Saccharomyces cerevisiae S288C: one gene and its partners. The protein of the gene in region 1 interacts with the protein of each later gene in a biochemical or structural test. Each region holds a gene or a part of one and is shown on either strand. Other genes may lie near its edges.

Region 1 (7,869 bases):
TTTACCTAATAATTAATGTGTAATCGAATTTTTTTACATAATCACTACCTAATAACTAATTTATCATCACTTTTTTTTTTCATTTTGAGGCCACACTTTCCCCCATGGACTATTGCATCATTGCGCCATGCTTCTTACTTGCGTAAGCCATAGAACGGAAATATCATGTTCCCCTTGCCGCATGCATATTGAAAACATCACGGGAACGAGAAGAATGGCATTTTCGAAATAAAAAGAAATCATATTTCAAATGTTGGGGAGAGAAAGCAAAGGGGAATCAATAATCATTAAGGGAAGTCGATGAAAGTTTCCTTTTCCGAACTCTACCTCGCCTTATATAAAACCTTGGTCTAAACGGATAAACCGAGATGTAGTTGAGTTTGTGAATCCAGTTCTTGTCCTTCTTCCTCTTTCAAAAAGTGAAGCAATCAGTTGAGAGTGTAGCTATAGAGGTGTGTACTCTAGAAATCAGACTTTCATAGCAAGCAGACTTTTTTTTTGTTGAATCTTACTAGCGGATTTTTTAGAGTTTTCTTCTTCGGACTAATCTGTCAATGGTTCCAGTAAGATTAATGAGTCAAAAGCCCTCTATAATTGTATCGAGAAATTTCTTAAAAGAAGGAATATAATTATTGCGGTCACTAGAAAGTTATAAGAAGGTTACCATTTAACTGAACAGCAGCGGTATAGTACGGAATAAAAAAGTCTTTTAAAATGTTGCTTAGTGCGCCTGTTAACAGTACCGTGCGGCGCAAGCCACACAGTCCAAATAAAAAAAAGCCAAAAGAGACAGGTACAGCTGCTTCCTTTTCGTCGTCCTCTTCAACTGTCGTCCTTTCATCCAATAATGATGGCAGCTTTGATGCTCTTTGGGACCCCTCTATAAGTAAGGCCTCGGATTTTGAGAGTAGCTATATTAGTGCTAAACGATTAAAACCAGAAAGTAGTAATAGACAGAAAAAAAAAAATTCTTATAAATATTCTAGGGAGGAAAACACCAACGAGGTAGAGGAAAAGACGTCTCTTGGCAGCAGCTCTAAGACAGAAGCAGATAATATATTTAATGACCAGCTCACGTCAGCTGGCAATACTACATATGTCAGTAATAAGCGCGATGTAAACTTCGGGGCGAATTCGGCTGTAGTACTGCTCGGTTTGCCAACAAGTAAAAGTGAATCTCACCGACAATACCACAGTCCTTCGGCTTCAACAACTAATGAAGATGAAGAGGACATTGGTGTTGATATTTTAGTAGACAACCACATCGATAGTTGCGAAACAGTATCGATAAATAATAATAGAGGTATTACACACCAATATCCAGAAACGGAATCAGATGTCGACTTTGATGAGGCCGTGATATTGACACCAATGGATGGTACGGATAAGGGAGTGAAAAATCCAAGACCACTCGAAAAAAAATATAGTAGCAGTTGTTTTGAGGACCGTACGCCCCTTAACTTGGATGATGGTCATTTCAGTGAATGCAATCATTTTTCTACATTAGATGTGTCTAGCTTTTTTCATCTCAACGAGCATGTGCATAAAATCGACGAAGTAGAGCTCGATGGACCTGATCGCACCTTTAGTCTAGACAACGTCGCTATTAATACAAGGAAAAAGGATATTGATTGCCTCTATAATAGTTCAAGAGAAGACTTATCCAACCTCACATGTTCTTCGGAAGGCCCAAGGAATGATAGTTATGATAGTGATTACAACATTGATGAGGTCACTTATAGAGATGATGAATCAACAGATGAAGACGAGAGCTTACCAACCCCAGATCGAAAAAGGAAGAAAATTGGCCATAAAGCTTGCGAAATATTGGATTCTAAAAGAATTGGAATAAAAGTACCAAAGTTATACGTTTGGTCTTTAAGTGATAAACCGTTTAGTGTTATCGATGGGTTGTGCACAAAATCGCTGTACCCATTGAGTGATGACATAAATACTCCTGAAAGTTTGAGCTCATGCTCAAGCTCAGTAAGTTCACGGGAAAATCAAAAAGGAGATGCAACATTTGATAATGATGCTATGATAGCCGACCTTCTAAACATAGGCGGACTCGAAGTAGAGAAGGCATCCAATGGCCATATTGAGCTCATAGGCGAGTGATTATTTGATATTCCAGAAGAATCATTATCGTCTTTTAAAGGAAAATATGATCGTTTGCGAAAAAATAGAAGCACTTTACTACTTGAATTGTCATAGAATAGTAGGAAAACCTACTTAGTCAGCGAAGATCAACTTGGAATATCGTATGATGAGATGGAGAAAAATTTAGGGGCCGAAATGGATGGATCCACTTGAGAGAGGATCAAGGAATACTGAAGTGCAGCTGACGATCCAGTCAGCGACATCTGTCTTTTTTTAATTACTATTGCTGTGTACTTATAGAGTCGGTGGCATTTATTTTATTTTTAGTATTTTTTTATACGTGCGTATTCTATTGTTCATTTTTTTACCAATTTTTTTTTTATTTTTATATTTTGTTTCTTGCGTGGAGTTTTTACAGGAAGTTAATCACAACAGAGGGTTCAATCTCCAAGGCATAAAATAAACAAAAATTGTAATAGTTAGCAACTGCAATACGAATTAAAATTTGAGGAAAAATCTAGTATTGTTCACACGAGCCAATGCTCTGAAGTTTCGAAAGCTAATAAATATCATGTGGAAACTTTTCTGAGTCATTAATAAGCAACACTATTTATTCTTCTTATAATTAGTCTTACAAGTAAACTGCCTTGCCGCATAAGCGCATTCCCTCTATGAGACCATTTGTAATTTCGAGAACACAATTTTACAACCGAGTAAATATCTTATAATCATTAAAATTATTAAACTATTATACAATTTTTTTTACTTTACTTTAATTTTTATATACCCATATAAATAATAATATTAATTATAACCAAAGGAAGTGATTTCATTATGCTTGAGTAGAGGAAGAGTACTTGGTAACAGCTCTAGTACCTTCAGAGACAGCATGCTTAGCCAATTCACCTGGTAAGATCAATCTAACAGCGGTTTGAATTTCTCTAGCAGAGATAGTAGACTTCTTGTTATACGCAGCCAATTTAGAAGCTTCAGTAGCGATTCTTTCAAAGATATCGTTAACGAAAGAGTTCAAGATAGACATGGACTTTTGGGAAATACCAGTGTCAGGGTGAGTTTGCTTCAAAACTTTGTAAATGTAAGAAGAGTATGTTTCCTTTCTAGCCTTGCTTCTCTTCTTACCATCAGTGGAAGTGGAAGTCTTTTTAGCGGCTGGTTTCTTTTCAGCTGGGGCTTTGGAGGCTGGTTTCTTTTCGGCTTTAGCAGACATTGTATGTGTGTATGGTTTATTTGTGGTTTGACTTGTCTATATAGGATAAATTTAATATAACAATAATCGAAAATGCGGAAAGAGAAACGTCTTTAATAAATCTGACCATCTGAGATGATCAAATCATGTTGTTTATATACATCAAGAAAACAGAGATGCCCCTTTCTTACCAATCGTTACAAGATAACCAACCAAGGTAGTATTTGCCACTACTAAGGCCAATTCTCTTGATTTTAAATCCATCGTTCTCATTTTTTCGCGGAAGAAAGGGTGCAACGCGCGAAAAAGTGAGAACAGCCTTCCCTTTCGGGCGACATTGAGCGTCTAACCATAGTTAACGACCCAACCGCGTTTTCTTCAAATTTGAACTCGCCGAGCTCACAAATAATTCATTAGCGCTGTTCCAAAATTTTCGCCTCACTGTGCGAAGCTATTGGAATGGAGTGTATTTGGTGGCTCAAAAAAAGAGCACAATAGTTAACTCGTCGTTGTTGAAGAAACGCCCGTAGAGATATGTGGTTTCTCATGCTGTTATTTGTTATTGCCCACTTTGTTGATTTCAAAATCTTTTCTCACCCCCTTCCCCGTTCACGAAGCCAGCCAGTGGATCGTAAATACTAGCAATAAGTCTTGACCTAAAAAATATATAAATAAGACTCCTAATCAGCTTGTAGATTTTCTGGTCTTGTTGAACCATCATCTATTTACTTCCAATCTGTACTTCTCTTCTTGATACTACATCATCATACGGATTTGGTTATTTCTCAGTGAATAAACAACTTCAAAACAAACAAATTTCATACATATAAAATATAAAATGTCCGGTGGTAAAGGTGGTAAAGCTGGTTCAGCTGCTAAAGCTTCTCAATCTAGATCTGCTAAGGCTGGTTTGACATTCCCAGTCGGTAGAGTGCACAGATTGCTAAGAAGAGGTAACTACGCCCAAAGAATTGGTTCTGGTGCTCCAGTCTACTTGACTGCTGTCTTGGAATATTTGGCCGCTGAAATTTTAGAATTAGCTGGTAATGCTGCTAGGGATAACAAGAAGACCAGAATTATTCCAAGACATTTGCAATTGGCTATCAGAAATGATGACGAATTGAACAAGCTATTGGGTAACGTTACCATTGCCCAAGGTGGTGTTTTGCCAAACATCCATCAAAACTTGTTGCCAAAGAAGTCTGCCAAGGCTACCAAGGCTTCTCAAGAATTATAAGATCGGTTCTGGTATTTTAAAGAAGGCGGAAGGAACTAAACTGCTTCTCCATTGTAACTATATTAAGTGTCTATTAGACCTTTCTGTTTTTCCTTTTTATTTTTCTATATATAATTTATTGGGTATATAATTAACGGTAACATATGTCATGCATGATATAAATTTTTTGTTGTGTCTTCCTGTTTTCTCTGTTGCTCTGTTTAGGTTCATTGGGCACTGTTGCTTACTTGAACATGATTGAGTAGCAAACACATTCTGTGCTTTGTTCACTTTGATAGTGTGACGAAATTTTCACAACCAAAGGAAAAAAGCTCACGATTGCGCGATCCTGTCACGGAGAACTGTCCGCAGCAGCCCGCGGCTTCTGTCCTTATTCGCCCATTTTTTTTTGATTTTCGACTTTTTCACTCTGGCTAGTTTTATTACGCATATTTGTATATATATATACGCATAAATTTCTGAAATGGATTACCTGGTTTATCAGAAACGAGAGCTTTAATAAAGAAACATTAACGTTTCTCTGGTAAAGTCACCACACAGCATCAAATATAACAGTAATGTCTAGCTCAGAATCCATTAGAATGGTCCTAATTGGCCCACCTGGTGCCGGTAAAGGTACTCAAGCTCCAAATTTGCAAGAGCGTTTCCATGCCGCTCACTTGGCCACTGGTGACATGTTGAGATCTCAAATCGCAAAGGGCACTCAATTAGGTTTGGAAGCAAAGAAAATTATGGACCAAGGTGGTTTAGTCTCTGATGACATTATGGTTAACATGATCAAGGATGAATTGACCAACAATCCAGCTTGTAAGAATGGGTTCATCTTGGACGGTTTCCCAAGAACCATTCCTCAGGCTGAAAAATTGGACCAAATGTTGAAAGAACAAGGAACTCCTTTGGAAAAAGCCATCGAATTGAAGGTTGATGATGAATTGTTGGTTGCCAGAATTACCGGTAGATTAATTCACCCAGCCTCTGGCAGATCCTACCACAAGATCTTTAACCCACCAAAGGAAGACATGAAGGATGACGTCACCGGTGAAGCTTTAGTTCAAAGATCTGATGACAATGCAGACGCCTTGAAGAAGAGATTAGCTGCTTACCATGCTCAAACCGAACCAATTGTTGACTTTTACAAAAAGACCGGTATCTGGGCTGGTGTTGATGCTTCCCAACCTCCTGCTACTGTTTGGGCTGACATCTTGAACAAGCTAGGTAAGGATTAATGACCTTGCGCAATGTCTTCTAAATATCTTTTCTTTTTTTTAAATTAATGAAAATATAATAAATTTTTGTATGTGAGTACATATATCCGCAGTATACTATAAATGAAATAATAACATAAGTGTTTGTAACTGGCTATAACGTCCTTAAACATGTGCACTGCCATTAAGTACTTAGTCAATATTTTTATCGTTGAGAACGAACGCAAATCATATTACTAAATAGATGAACAAAAGCGCATCACATAAACAAAAACGGTATAACAGTAATAGTGAAGCTTTTTATAAACCTATAACGAAATAAGCGCTTTTCAGGTTTTATAATTCAGTCAGAGTTCTAACTGGACATCGTTTTGCAGGGGATAAAAAAAAAAAGGAAGCTTCAACCCACAATACCAAAAAAGCGAAGAAAACAGCCAATGCCAAATGACAATAAGACACCCAATAGGTCCAGCACTCCCAAGTTTACTAAAAAACCAGTAACCCCGAATGATAAAATTCCTGAAAGAGAAGAAAAATCCAATGAAGTGAAGACACCTAAAATTCCATTATTCACGTTTGCCAAAAGCAAAAACTATTCAAGGCCGTCAACCGCAATTCATACCTCACCTCATCAACCAAGTGATGTAAAACCGACTTCCCATAAACAGTTGCAACAGCCAAAATCCTCACCACTGAAAAAAAATAACTATAATTCTTTTCCTCACTCAAATCTGGAAAAAATAAGCAACAGCAAACTACTCTCCCTTCTTCGGTCCAAAACGTCAGCAGGAAGAATTGAATCAAACAATCCTTCACATGATGCTAGCAGGTCTCTAGCAAGTTTTGAACAAACAGCATTTTCCCGGCATGCGCAGCAACAAACTTCTACCTTCAATTCAAAGCCTGTACGTACCATAGTACCGATATCAACATCACAAACCAATAACTCATTTTTATCAGGAGTAAAAAGCTTACTAAGTGAAGAGAAAATAAGGGATTACTCTAAAGAGATTCTAGGCATAAACTTGGCAAACGAACAGCCTGTTTTAGAGAAGCCACTTAAAAAAGGATCAGCAGACATCGGCGCCTCTGTGATTTCTTTGACCAAGGACAAATCTATCAGGAAAGATACCGTAGAAGAAAAAAAAGAAGAAAAGTTGAATATAGGTAAAAACTTTGCCCATTCTGATTCACTATCAGTTCCGAAGGTTAGTGCCGGTGACAGTGGTATATCACCGGAGGAGAGCAAGGCAAGAAGTCCTGGAATTGCAAAACCGAATGCCATACAAACAGAAGTGTATGGAATAAATGAGGAATCTACTAACGAGCGTTTAGAAATAAATCAAGAAAAACCAGTAAAATTAGATGAGAATAGTGCAAATAGTACGGTCGCATCGGCCTTAGATACCAATGGGACGTCAGCCACGACAGAAACTCTAACATCAAAGAAGATCGTTCCATCTCCAAAAAAAGTCGCCATTGATCAAGATAAAATAACACTGCACGATGAGAAAACACTTGCACCTTCGAAGCATCAGCCTATAACATCTGAACAAAAAATGAAGGAAGACGCCGACCTCAAGAGGATGGAAATCTTAAAGTCACCTCATTTGTCGAAAAGTCCAGCTGACAGACCTCAAGGGCGTAGAAACAGCCGAAATTTTTCCACTAGAGATGAAGAAACTACAAAACTTGCTTTTCTTGTTGAATATGAAGGCCAAGAAAACAACTATAACTCTACTTCTCGAAGCACAGAAAAGAAAAATGATATGAACACTTCTGCAAAGAATAAAAATGGTGAAAACAAGAAAATTGGTAAGAGGCCGCCTGAAATCATGAGCACTGAAGCTCACGTAAACAAAGTAACCGAAGAAACCACAAAGCAGATACAGAGTGTACGAATAGATGGTCGAAAAGTGCTTCAAAAAGTACAAGGAGAATCCCACATTGATTCGAGAAACAATACCCTGAATGTTACACCATCAAAGAGGCCCCAGCTAGGAGAAATACCGAATCCTATGAAAAAGCATAAGCCTAATGAAGGGCGAACTCCAAATATCTCAAACGGTACAATAAACATCCAAAAGAAATTAGAGCCTAAGGAAATTGTGCGAGATATT
Region 2 (6,833 bases), 590 kb from region 1:
GTGAACTCACTATACCATTAATCTTATCACCCGTTTATAAATCTATTCTTGTCCTTTCCAGTTGATATGATTCTGCTATTATCCTTGTTCCCCCCAAGGACTGCAGTAGAAGAGTTATGTTACAAATGTTGATATATATATATATATATATATATATATATGTATGGACATTTGTGATGAAAATATATCTTGAACAAGCGCGATTAAGGTCATAATAAAAAATCACAGAAAATTTTTCAGGTCGCGGGCGTTCTCTCACCCGGCCGCCCAAAGTATTATATGAATCTTTAGGGCTTGTAGGAATTATCAGCATGATATGTACAATTAGAGTTTTTCTTTGGAAACATGCGACAGTAGACGTCACTCTTTGATTCAGAAGTTAGGCTAGGATGTACGCAAATAAAATAAAAGCAATGACAAAACTAGATTTACATATATTATATGTATATGTATGTGGAGGATATAACACAAACAGTGGAAAAGTGGTAGAATAATTAGTATTACAAGTGCACTGTCAATAAATCATTGGAACTGAATGCTTTGTTGCATGTAGGGCATTTTCTCATTCTCGCTGCCAATCGTTCCTTACAGCAATTCTCACAAAAGACATGGCCACAGGTTTTAATAGCCATGTTTTTCCAATTTTTAGAACACAGGGAACAATAAACAAGTGTACGGAAATTTGCTAGTTCTTCTACGAGTGCTTCATCGCTCGAGCCCTTATTTTTGTTGTTACCACGGAACAATGTATCATGTAGTTTTTCACACTTGGATTCTAGATGAGATGCCTTCTGCTTGAAGTGCTTCAATTCTATTTCTGTATCATTTAATTTAGTTTCTAGATGCGTCATATCTGCAATGCTTTTGTTACTTTCTTCTTGTAGCTTTTCTAATGACCTTTTCAGTTTAGTGGATGTATTATTTAAATCAATTATTTTTAGTGTCTCTGTTTTACTGGAATCAATTAACCTGCGTTCATTATTTTGAGAAAGATCCAGTTGTTTATGTAAATTTCCTATTTTTTGCTGTAGCAATCTATCAGAGTCCTTTAACTGTAGAATAAGCTCATTTGATTTACTGAGGCTTTTAGAAAGAGTTTTGATTTCAATTAAAATTGAATCTTTGGACCTCATCGCGGCAAAATATTTCTGATCAGCCTTAGTTTTTTCTACGGTAAGCTTGGATATAACAGATTCGTGATTAATAATCTCAGAGTACTTTTTATGAGTTAAGTCGGATAACTCTCTAAAACCCTTCTCTAAGTCTTGAATTTCCTTTATTAATGCATCTTGAGTCGACGAGGATTTTGTATCGTTTGATCTTTGATCAATTTTTGTCCATTGCTCCTTCAAAATATCAATTGCATGTTGTAAATCGCTCAACACTTCAGTCTTGGATTTTTCAGCTTCCAAAATGGCGATTTTGCTTAGTAAATCATCACGAGCCGTTCTTATTCTTACAACGTCCTTTTCCAATGAACTGTTCATTTCTACTAGGGAGTCGAGACTTTTCTGGAATTCTTCTCGGACCTTCTTCGTATATATTTCTTTCTCTTTGGCTAAAACTTGAAATTTTGATAAAAAGGAACTATTGATCTCAGATAATTCTGCGTTTTGTTCAGTCAAATGTTGAATTTTTGCTAACAGGGACTCATGGTCATATGACTTGAAATCTGGGTCTTGGTCTGCTGCTGCTATCTGTTGCTTTTTTAAATTGGATACCTCAGAACGTGTTTTGATGAGCTCTTCCTCGTTTTCCCTTCTGATATTTTCAAGGTCTTTTATAGTGGAACTCAAGGAGTTTATCTCTGCCCGTAAATCAGAAAATTTCAGATCCAATTCTAATTTTTCATTCTCAGCATCTTCTTTTCGTTCATCCTCCGCCTGCACAAGTTCATCACCTTTCTCGGATTTTTTGGATGTATTATCACCATTAATTGCAGAGGAGTCTTTATTTCCAGATTTTATATTGTTTTCATTAGATTCTTTTTCATCTTCCCGTAATTCCTTTACAGCATCAGTCTTATCTTCCTTAAAAACACGTTTTATAGTAAAGGATTCATCTCTATCATACTTGCGAATTATATTTGTATAATATTCCTTCAAAGCAGAAATCTCCTCTGTCAATTGCGAATTTTCATAAAAGAGCTCCTCTTTACTTTTCCGCAAGTTTTTTAACTCCGTTGTTAATTCTTGAATATGATCCGAAGCATTACTATTAGTATTACTATCTGTCGTGTTTGGCTTCCCATATTTAGTCAGTAGCTTCATGAAAGAATCACTGCGCTGAACTATCAACGTCTCATCGCCTTGGGCTATTTCCCTACATAGTTGCTTCTCGTTGGCGTCTGTGCAGAATGTTTCGATAAACCTAGCTAAAGTTACTATCAGCGCCATAATATTTGCCAACTTGCGGGAAACATCTATGCACTCCCTTCTTGAAAGTTCATATTGCTTTCGCAAGGCTTCAAAGTCGACTCTTCGACGATTTATACATCTAAACAAAGCTTCTTTTTGAAACGCTATCACATCAGATTGAGTAAGCGGTTCACTAGGATCGCTTAATTCTAGCTTGATCTTCTTAGTAGCAGGCTCGGCCGTCATATCTGATTATTATCAGCTAGCACGATTAGCATAAAAACGGTGAAAGCCCTTTCTATCTCTGTTAAAAACCTTGGGGCGCTCTCTGTTAGTTTACCGTTCAAACAACATCCATCCAACTTTTTTTAATCTTCTTCTTTTTTGTTTTTTCGCCTTCTTTAAGAAAGTTTCGTTGGATGTGATTATAATCACGTGATCAAATGCTTTTGTCACTTTTATATAATAACGATGGTTTGATCAAAGTACGATCAGTTGGTGCTTCATTTCAAAGTTAGAAGACATCCTTAGTGCCTATTGTCGATCTGCTCTTTCTTTTTGAATCCACTGAAATTAACGATCTCAGAATTTCACCAGTGATTTTCCCAATATTATCTTTCGTGGGTAGAGAAACAATTCTGAACTCGATTGTGCTTCGTATGCTATATACGCATTGTTGTAGCACTAAAGATCATATTGCTCATTAAGCATGGGTCCTGCCATACATAATCAACTATATGAATGTGGATTAAAGACTACGTCTCAAGATGGCTTCTTGATGGACAATTATGAAACTCAATTATTTCAATCGTTGAACAGGTTTATCAATTTCATAAACAATGCTAATCAGTCAGCTAGTAATAAAGAACAAAATACAAAATTTTGCAAATCCTCCTCAAATTTTTTACGCTTGAAACTACTAACGGTTCTAAGACAATGGTGTGATTCTTCACGAAGCAACTGTACACTGGAGGTTAGAGATGTTTTGACCCAATGGTGGGTCACACTTTTAAACTTTCTAAATTCTGACACCTCGCTTCAAATAGATACTGCCCTTGAATTGAGCTTGAGCATAGAACTAACTTCCGTGTGTCTCGAGTGCCTCAGCAAAATTATGACCATACTAATAATATTGCCTTTCCATTCATCCAGAGACATGGAAATATACTCACATCATCTTTTGCTGACCATTCATTGCATAACAAACAAGTTGATTTTGATTTCTAAAAACTCCAAAAAACTTAAACGTACAAATAGTGATGACAAGTGCTCTATAAACGACAAGAAGCTGCAATACCTTAACAAATATTCTTCCTTGCTGCGAGCATTCATCGGGAAGTTAAATGCTTACGCATTTTTTTATCTACCAGAAGACTTTCATTTCGATACAATTTTGTTATTGACAGTTTCTCCTCAAATCTCTTCAAGTATTCAAACATCTTTGTTTTCATGGAAGAAGAGACAATATAAATTCACCGACGATCAGGGACAAATGATCCGCACTGAAGCTTTTGAAAATAAAGATACTAAATTTTTTAAGATCATTGTTTCTTATATTAAAAATGATTTTGTACTTATGTCATTTTATTGGCACTATTGGTATATCATACTTCAATTTATGAAATTCTCTGATTCAGATGTAGGAATTAAAAAATCGACATTGTCATGCATACCTGGCTCAGAAATTTTATTGACGCATGTAACCACTAGATTCTTGAATTCAGATTTGAATAAATTCACGCGGATTATTAAACAAACGCCGAATCCAAGGATAGCAAATGAGAATGTGACAGAGTCACATCCAAATTTCAAGAGTTTGAATAGTAGCAATGCTTTAATTACATCTGAAAGGATTAATGATTACGTATTTTCTAATTTTAAGACAATCAAATTATGGGAATGTCTTAGAAGCCTTTCAGGATGCATTCTTAAAGAAAATCATCCGGAATACCTGGAAAATATGCTTTCCTTACATGAGTCTCTATTGATAGACTATGTCTCCACTATTTCAGCGTACGATTATATTGCAGCGAACGTCATTTACAATAAGGTTCTCCAGTTTATTATTTTCCAGTTTGAAAGTTTACCTTCTCTGAAATTCATTCAATGGAGGTCGTGGTACAATGGGCTTTTGAGTATGTTAAGGACCAAAAATGTTAACTGCCAGACTGTTTCTTTATTATGCCTTTTCAATATTTGGAAGCACGTAACCATTGAGGACCGCGATGAAATAGTAAAAGTGCTGTTAAGTGATTTTTGGGAGTCATTGATTTTTGAAAACGAATTTCCTTTGATTAGAATTTTATTTATGAAGGTATTAGTTTTTAAAATCATTCCAAGTGTTCAAAATTCTTCTTCATTACGATTCTTGCCACATGATAGAATTAAACAACTATATGAAGAGCTACTGGTAAACAAGGAGGAGTTATTTGAGATGCAAAAACACGATTCAAATGATATAGTGGCGCATAGAAAGAATGCTCTCGTTTTTAATGGTAACTCACGTTTGATGATGATTCCAAAAAAACCAAATACAGAGGACCACTTAGTTTATAAGATTAATCATGATAAAAATTTAACTACAGAAAGATTTCCCTCTGTCAGCTCAGTGGCAAATACAAGACCTAACGTTATCTTGAAAAATGGTAAATACGCTTATGATATTTTGGACGAAATGACAAGTAAAGCTGCCTTTCTTCTTGCAGAAAAGAAGACCCGACTAAATCCCAAAAAAAATCACAAAATTATGGATGGCTACGAAGGAGGTCAGGAAAACGAAGATAATGATGAAGACTCAGAAGATAGTGGCTCGCATAAAAATAAGAGAAAGGAAGGTAATAGTTCTTTATCGGCAACACTGAACACTTGGCTTTCAAAATTTTCAAGTACTTCTGAAGATTCACAGAAGAAGAAGGAACAGGCAAATGAATTAGGCAACGATTTTGAATATGATGAAGATGTGGCTGATTTTGCAGAAATTTTGCCGAAGCAGTCATCTAGTAATATTGAAAAAATTTTTAAGCATGGTAACAATTCAGGATCAATGGTATCATATAATTCAAGTATCAAGCTCAATAGGAGGGAGAATATATTGATAGGTCCACCAGAGTTGAGATTTTCTAATGAAATCAAGGAACACAATAGTATTGCTACAATATTCAAACTGGTATTTATTCAAACCAATAGAAGAGTCGTCGAAAAAATAGATTTGGCGAACATGAAATGGGGGACAATCCACGGAGGCAGTAAGTACATGAAGCCTTTACCCGTCCCGAAAGATTTGGTTGCGAGTGTTGCTAAGAACGAAAGTGAGACGAGAAACTTAGCTACCTTATGCGGTAATGGTCTAGATTTTGAGATACCGGTGCCTGATTTTAATATTTTTGGCAAATGTATGGAAGATGAGCAAGATGTAGCCAAAATTGGTAATCAGAATGTGGAAGATTTGAAAGTTACTGGGGGGCGGGAGGTGACAATTTGGAAGCAGATCCAAGATATGAAGTTGAGAACAAGGATACAAAAAATCTGTGTTTTAATTGAGACGTTCAATGCTACAGTAAGAGAATATTTTGAGTTTTCCAATCGATTAGAGCATGACGGTATATTTATAGATTTTGAAGTGAGGAAACCTAGTAGTAATAATTCTATTAATATCAAAGTCTGAATAATAGAATGAGTTACATACGTAAACGTGTAGTATTATTATTATTATTCTATTTCCTTTCCGTTTTTATTATTTATATATATATATATATATATATATATTTGGGTGTTTATATTTAGGTAGGGCATAAGGATTTACTGTCGGCATGAACCTACTTGAACAAAAAAATAAAAATCAAAAGAAAAATAATGTAGGCTTTTGCACATCGACTATATATAAATATATATATACACACTTCTGTGCAGAAGAAAAGGAATAAAACGTCAAACTAATTTATTTCTTCTTGCAACGATTCCGACTTCTCCTTTAAACGTGCAATTTCGTCATCGATGTCCTGAATTTTCTTCAATAGTTCAAAATTTTTCTCATCGCCGTGGTCATCCTTGGAAGCGCCGGATTGAGCAGCAGCTTCGGCAGTAACAGAGTCGTTCTTCTTGACATCGCTGGAGGCTACTGGAGGCGATGCTCTGTATATGTCTTTCATGGTTAAAAGTTCTATGACTAGCCCAAAAGTCCTAACGACGACAAAGGTCAAAAACAAAGTTATACCTGTCAAATACATATTCCTTTGGGCAAAGAATTTCCTAGAAAGAACCTCAATTCTATCTTGAGCGATTATAGCGCCATTATTTTGAGAGGCGCTACTTAACTGCAGCTCTTTGTCGATGCTGTACACTCTGTTGATACAATCGATGAAAAGCAAAAGAATGAACCCAAGTACACACTTGATCGCAACTTGCACTGTGGAGGATTTGAACGGCTTTAATAACAGTAAGGTGAGAGGCCTACGGTATCTAGAAGGGATTGGTAGG
Region 3 (5,294 bases), on another chromosome or scaffold:
TATTGAAGACTTGTTCAAGTTTCAAATTATCTTCTTTAGTAATACTTGAGTCACCAGTCCAGATTACTTAGCCTATCTTTCTTTATCGCGTTTGATTTTGGCGTTTGTTTGTAATTATTATTCTTTTTTCCTTCGTTTCGCTGTGAAACTAACTTGCGCTGAGGTCCAAAAACCTCTCATCTAAGAATAAAGGAAAATACATATTATCCTGGGTCTAAAAGGCTAAAAGAACTCACCGTCAAGAGGAAGGGCTCAGAAAGTATGGGTGAGTCAATTGAAACAATTTGTAAAAGCCTTGTCAGGGCTTTCCAAGAGGAGAAGGATGATTTTGTCTCACTTGTAACAATCATTGATATGTACAACGAGCAGGTGAACTCTGGAAAGTCTATAAAAGAAAAGGAACGTTATTTGGATGCCCTATTGAAAATACTTAAGGATAATCCAGTTACCTTAAAGGAAATTGGCTGGGATCTGCCAAAGGGTTTATTGCAGTTTTTCTCACGCAAAAACATCAATGTCAATATACATCTAGTTTTTAGTCCCCTTGTTTCTAGTGTGATGGAATGCTTCAATGAGCTAGCCATCAATGGAAATCCGAAAGAATGCTTGTTGACCGCTTGCGAATTGGTGTCAACACTCCATATAGTCTTAACTGAAACTGGCGACTCCGATGAAGAGAATGAAGATTTAAATGACTCCAATAGAAATGATGCGTCAAACATTACTGATGAGCTGTCAGTTATCACTCCGGAGATTGGGCACTATATGGCCAAAAATACAGTAGAATTCATTCCAAATTTGAAAATTTACGTTCTCTTTGAATTTATGAGTTTATTGTTGAAACGTGTGGACACTTTATATCCATCTAAATTTCTAGCCATGGTAACTTCTGCAATTATTAAGTATGTAACAACCAACGTTCAGGCTATGGATGATCCACACTTTATTTTGCGCATAGTGTACAATTTTTGTACTAATTACTCTCCAGCTCAACCATCTGCTAGTCTGACCGATGGTATTAGTACAAACGATCTTGAAAAAATTCATGATGATGAATCTGCCTTACAGAAAAAACTACTGGCTAATCTGAGCGTATTCGTGATTAGCAACTGCCTAAAAAATCATCCAGGTAATATTGACAAGATATATTTCAAAACATTGATGCATAAAAAAACAGATGAAAATGAAATCGATGCTTCAGTTTTACAGATATGCCACCAATACTACGAGTATGTCACATCATTGGATGTCCACATGAAAGAACTTTTAGAAAAGTGCCTGGTAGAATCAAGAAGCATCTATAACTCTCTTCTCATGAACCCGGCCGCTTCCACGCCCGAATTCAAAGAAGAAATTAACCAACTAGTATATGAGGTATCTTACGCATATCAAATCAAGAAACTAGCTGACGAAAAGAACTTAGAGCTGGACCAATATGGAGTTGTGATTCTATCTGCAATACATTATTCTAAAAATGGTACTCACTTATTGCCGCAAATTGATATCCAAAGCGCAATTTACCTCTATCTACGGTGTACGACAGCTTCTTTATTTTCAGAAATATACGAAAATAAGTTTTTGGAAAGTTCAGTACGCTACTGGCTATGGGTATCCACAACCGAGACTTCCACAGAGAAAATAAAGTGTGCCTTACAAGAACTTCCAGGGCACATTACCACGGCCTTTTTGCAGATGTTACTGATGAAAACTTGCAATGAATCTAATAACGACACTAAGTTGACCGAAATTACTCTTCTGAGGAGGTTACTCTATCTCATGCCCGAAAGCACATCTTTTACGTTCATCTTTGAAACTCTACTACATTGTCCATATATAACTGCAAAGATTGCTGTTCTTGACATTCTAAGAGATATGATGATTAGATCTCCTGAGGCTGCTAATCGTGACGAAACTGTCGGTTTAATCGAACAACAGAATCCTGGGAATACCGCTAATAGTGTACCGATAATGCCAACTCTACCTCCAAGACCTTACATCACTATTAATGAAGATCGCATGGCTTCCATTCATAGCATTGCTTTAATATGTTTTTCTGCCGCCAAGCAAAAGAAAAGAACGCAAGGTGATTTACTCTTGGTACTAACATATATGAAATTTTTTGTTAGTTTAAGGAACAAATGGGATTTGGGTCTGTTAACACTCATCAATAAAGAAATCTCCGAATCATTTCAAGGAGAAGGTGAGCCTGAATTAGCATTCATCAACATTTCCAATAATACTCTGGGAGAATATATAGAAGAGATGAACATACGCTCGTAAACTACATAGTAAATTAGTTGCTCTTCTCTTTTGTTCCCGAGTAAATCGAATTATTCTATTAAAGGGAAACACTATGTTTTGAGTCATCCAAACTTTCATTTTTTTCAGATTTCATCGCCCGATCGTCAAGGAATAAAAAGGGAAGGGATGGGATACTTGCATTGGAACCCAGAAAGTACGTAAAAGATGAAGATCGTGAGAGATTGGTCAATGGATAAATAGTTCTGTAATTATGTCTAAGTATCAAATTAATTGCATAAGATACCGGCACTTTCTCAGGACATCTAATATCTCGCAGATCCCTGATTTCACGAAATACTGCATTGGTCCCGTAAATGAAGAATTGGCACCTTACATCATGGAAACCATGAAGGCATACCCTTCAAATTCCGAATATATCAATCCGCAGCATTACTATCATAATAGAACGGTATTAGTAGAAAATTACTTAAAACGAAGTCCAAATCCAGTATCATTAACGCAGTTAGCGCAATATTATGACGATTCTACCAAGCTGACCAGAACCAAGATCATCAATTCCGGGAAATTTGTAAAAGAAGAACTGGTAATTAGGATCGCGCATAAATTAAATCAATTGCAACAACTTCCATTTAATGTTGTGAACAACTTCCATTTTGTTCAAGTTTATGAGTCATATTACAATATTTTTGAAAGCTTTAGAAAATATCCGACTATAAGAACTTTAGAGGACGCTTCTCAATTTGCAGATTTTATCAAAAATATGCTAGAAGGCTTCAATACTCTAAACTTACCACATTTGATAATGGGGGCTTTAGAATGTACAATTTTGGATCTTTATCCTCGTGAAAAAATGGACCAACTACTATCTGATCTGTTAAGAGCTCGAATATCAAGAAGATTGATTGTAGAGGAACACGTCAGTATCACAGCCAACTACACTAGTGGTAAGGAGGAAAATACCTTGGTATTGGGTGATATTTTTCAAGAATGTAGCGCTAAAAAATATTTATTGGAAGCCAGTGAGGAATCTCAAAAATTTATCCAAGATATGTACTTTAAAGACATTCCCATGCCAGAATTTATTATCGAAGGTGACACTCAACTAAGCTTTTACTTTTTGCCTACACATTTGAAGTATTTGTTAGGGGAGATCCTTCGAAATACTTACGAAGCAACCATGAAACACTATATTCGTAAGGGATTAGAAAAGCCGGAACCAATCATAGTAACTGTAGTAAGTAACGATGAATCCTATTTGTTTAGAATTTCAGATAAAGCTGGGGGCGTCCTCCATGATGATGAAAATCTATGGTCATTCGGTAAATCGAAAGAAAGGGCTCAAGAATCCCTAAATAATTTTCACAAGTTACCTGGTTTACAAACAGTATCTATTTATGACGAAGTACATTCCCATACTAAATATAACTCCAAACTGAAGTCATTGCAGTCAATAACATTAAAACCGTACATGCACACGTCGCTAGAACCAATGAGTTATCCTAGCATCATAAATGGGCACATCAAATATGAAACTCCCCTAATTGAATTGTTAAAGCGGTCTTTTAGATACAAGCTTGGGATTGGGTTAGCCATGTGTAAAGTGTATGCTGAATATTGGAACGGCGACCTTTCATTGCATTCAATGCCTGGATATGGTACCGATGTTGTATTAAAATTAGGCAACTTGATGAAGCATACGAAGAAACTACAATTAGATAAAGTGTGAGCTAACCATGCTTACACTATATACCAAGGAACAAATACATATTCGGAATATTAGTATGGTGACTACATTTCCCGGATTAGTGTATGTATATACAAAAAGGCACCTCCGGGTAGCCGGAGTAGAAAGCTGGAAAAATAAAAATGAAAGCGAATGGAATGTGTAAGAGAAAAAAAGGAAAGAACTATCAAGTTGCAGAGTTGATGACATAAATAGTAGAGTGGAAAATCAACGAAGATCGAATTCCAAAGATTATTTTTAGGCAGACAGAGACTAAAAGATAAAGCGTCATGTCCACACCAGCTAGAAGAAGGTTGATGAGAGATTTTAAACGTATGAAGGAAGATGCCCCACCGGGTGTATCTGCTTCACCATTACCTGATAACGTCATGGTATGGAACGCCATGATTATCGGGCCAGCCGATACTCCATATGAAGACGGAACTTTTAGGTTATTGTTGGAGTTTGATGAAGAATATCCCAATAAGCCACCGCATGTCAAATTTTTGAGTGAAATGTTTCATCCCAATGTCTATGCAAATGGTGAAATTTGTTTGGATATTTTGCAGAACAGATGGACTCCAACATATGATGTCGCATCCATATTGACATCCATTCAAAGTTTATTCAACGATCCAAATCCAGCTTCGCCAGCAAACGTTGAAGCTGCAACATTATTCAAAGATCATAAATCACAGTACGTCAAAAGAGTTAAGGAGACGGTAGAGAAATCTTGGGAGGATGATATGGACGATATGGACGATGATGATGATGATGATGACGACGACGACGACGACGAAGCAGACTGAGAAAAATCAAAAGAATCTTAATGATGAATGCCGAGCCGATATTATGAATTCGATTACCTTTTTGTTCAATCAAATATAGGGCTTCATCGTGAGTTTCTTTCTCTATCGATCCGTTTGCTTTCTATTCCTCCATCTTCTACTTTATACCGTAAAGAAAATTTAATAATGATAGAAACATTGCATATAAATAATATACTAAAAAGAAACACTGCTCTACCATAAATTTCTTTGGAGAAAATAACGTGAAATGAGAAATAAGGACAATTTGTTATCGGTTATAACTGCCGATACCCGTATCTTTTGTGTTTGATTCAAGGAATACTTATTTAGAGTAGAAAGAATATATTTACTTAGATAACTTAATGTATAATATATAAAAAAAATCAAAAAAACAGGAAAAAAAAAAATCATGAGTGAGTGGCACTTTTAACTGCAAGAATGAAGAGTGACCCCATTTTTTTTTATTCTGATATTACAGTACTCTTCTGTGCGGGCAGCTC

The links. The genes of interacting proteins can lie anywhere in the genome.
Region 2: of the proteins of HTB1 (region 1) and BRE1, one has a biochemical effect on the other in vitro, tested with the Saccharomyces cerevisiae proteins (6 studies listed by BioGRID, with this or other methods).
Region 3: of the proteins of HTB1 (region 1) and RAD6, one has a biochemical effect on the other in vitro, tested with the Saccharomyces cerevisiae proteins (5 studies listed by BioGRID, with this or other methods).

Annotation. Positions count from the first base shown.
Region 1 is NC_001136.10:911,385-919,253, forward strand, and holds HTB1 (histone H2B), read right to left. Parts: upstream 3,329-7,869; coding exon 2,933-3,328; downstream 1-2,932. Other genes in the region: CRF1 (Crf1p), read left to right, coding at 715-2,118; HTA1 (histone H2A), read left to right, coding at 4,146-4,544; adenylate kinase ADK1, read left to right, coding at 5,102-5,770; chromatin-silencing protein SIR4, read left to right, coding at 6,187-7,869. UniProt on the Saccharomyces cerevisiae protein: Core component of nucleosome. Nucleosomes wrap and compact DNA into chromatin, limiting DNA accessibility to the cellular machineries which require DNA as a template.
Region 2 is NC_001136.10:323,547-330,379, forward strand, and holds BRE1 (E3 ubiquitin-protein ligase BRE1), read right to left. Parts: upstream 2,604-6,833; coding exon 501-2,603; downstream 1-500. Other genes in the region: AHK1 (Ahk1p), read left to right, coding at 3,067-6,021; YET3 (Yet3p), read right to left, coding at 6,290-6,833. UniProt on the Saccharomyces cerevisiae protein: E3 ubiquitin-protein ligase that mediates monoubiquitination of histone H2B to form H2BK123ub1 in association with the E2 enzyme RAD6/UBC2.
Region 3 is NC_001139.9:389,711-395,004, forward strand, and holds RAD6 (E2 ubiquitin-conjugating protein RAD6), read left to right. Parts: upstream 1-4,275; coding exon 4,276-4,794; downstream 4,795-5,294. Other genes in the region: DUO1 (Duo1p), read right to left, coding at 1-1; YBP2 (Ybp2p), read left to right, coding at 355-2,280; protein kinase PKP2, read left to right, coding at 2,513-3,988; GEP7 (Gep7p), read right to left, coding at 5,256-5,294. UniProt on the Saccharomyces cerevisiae protein: E2 ubiquitin-conjugating enzyme that accepts ubiquitin from the ubiquitin-activating enzyme E1 and transfers it to a E3 ubiquitin-protein ligase.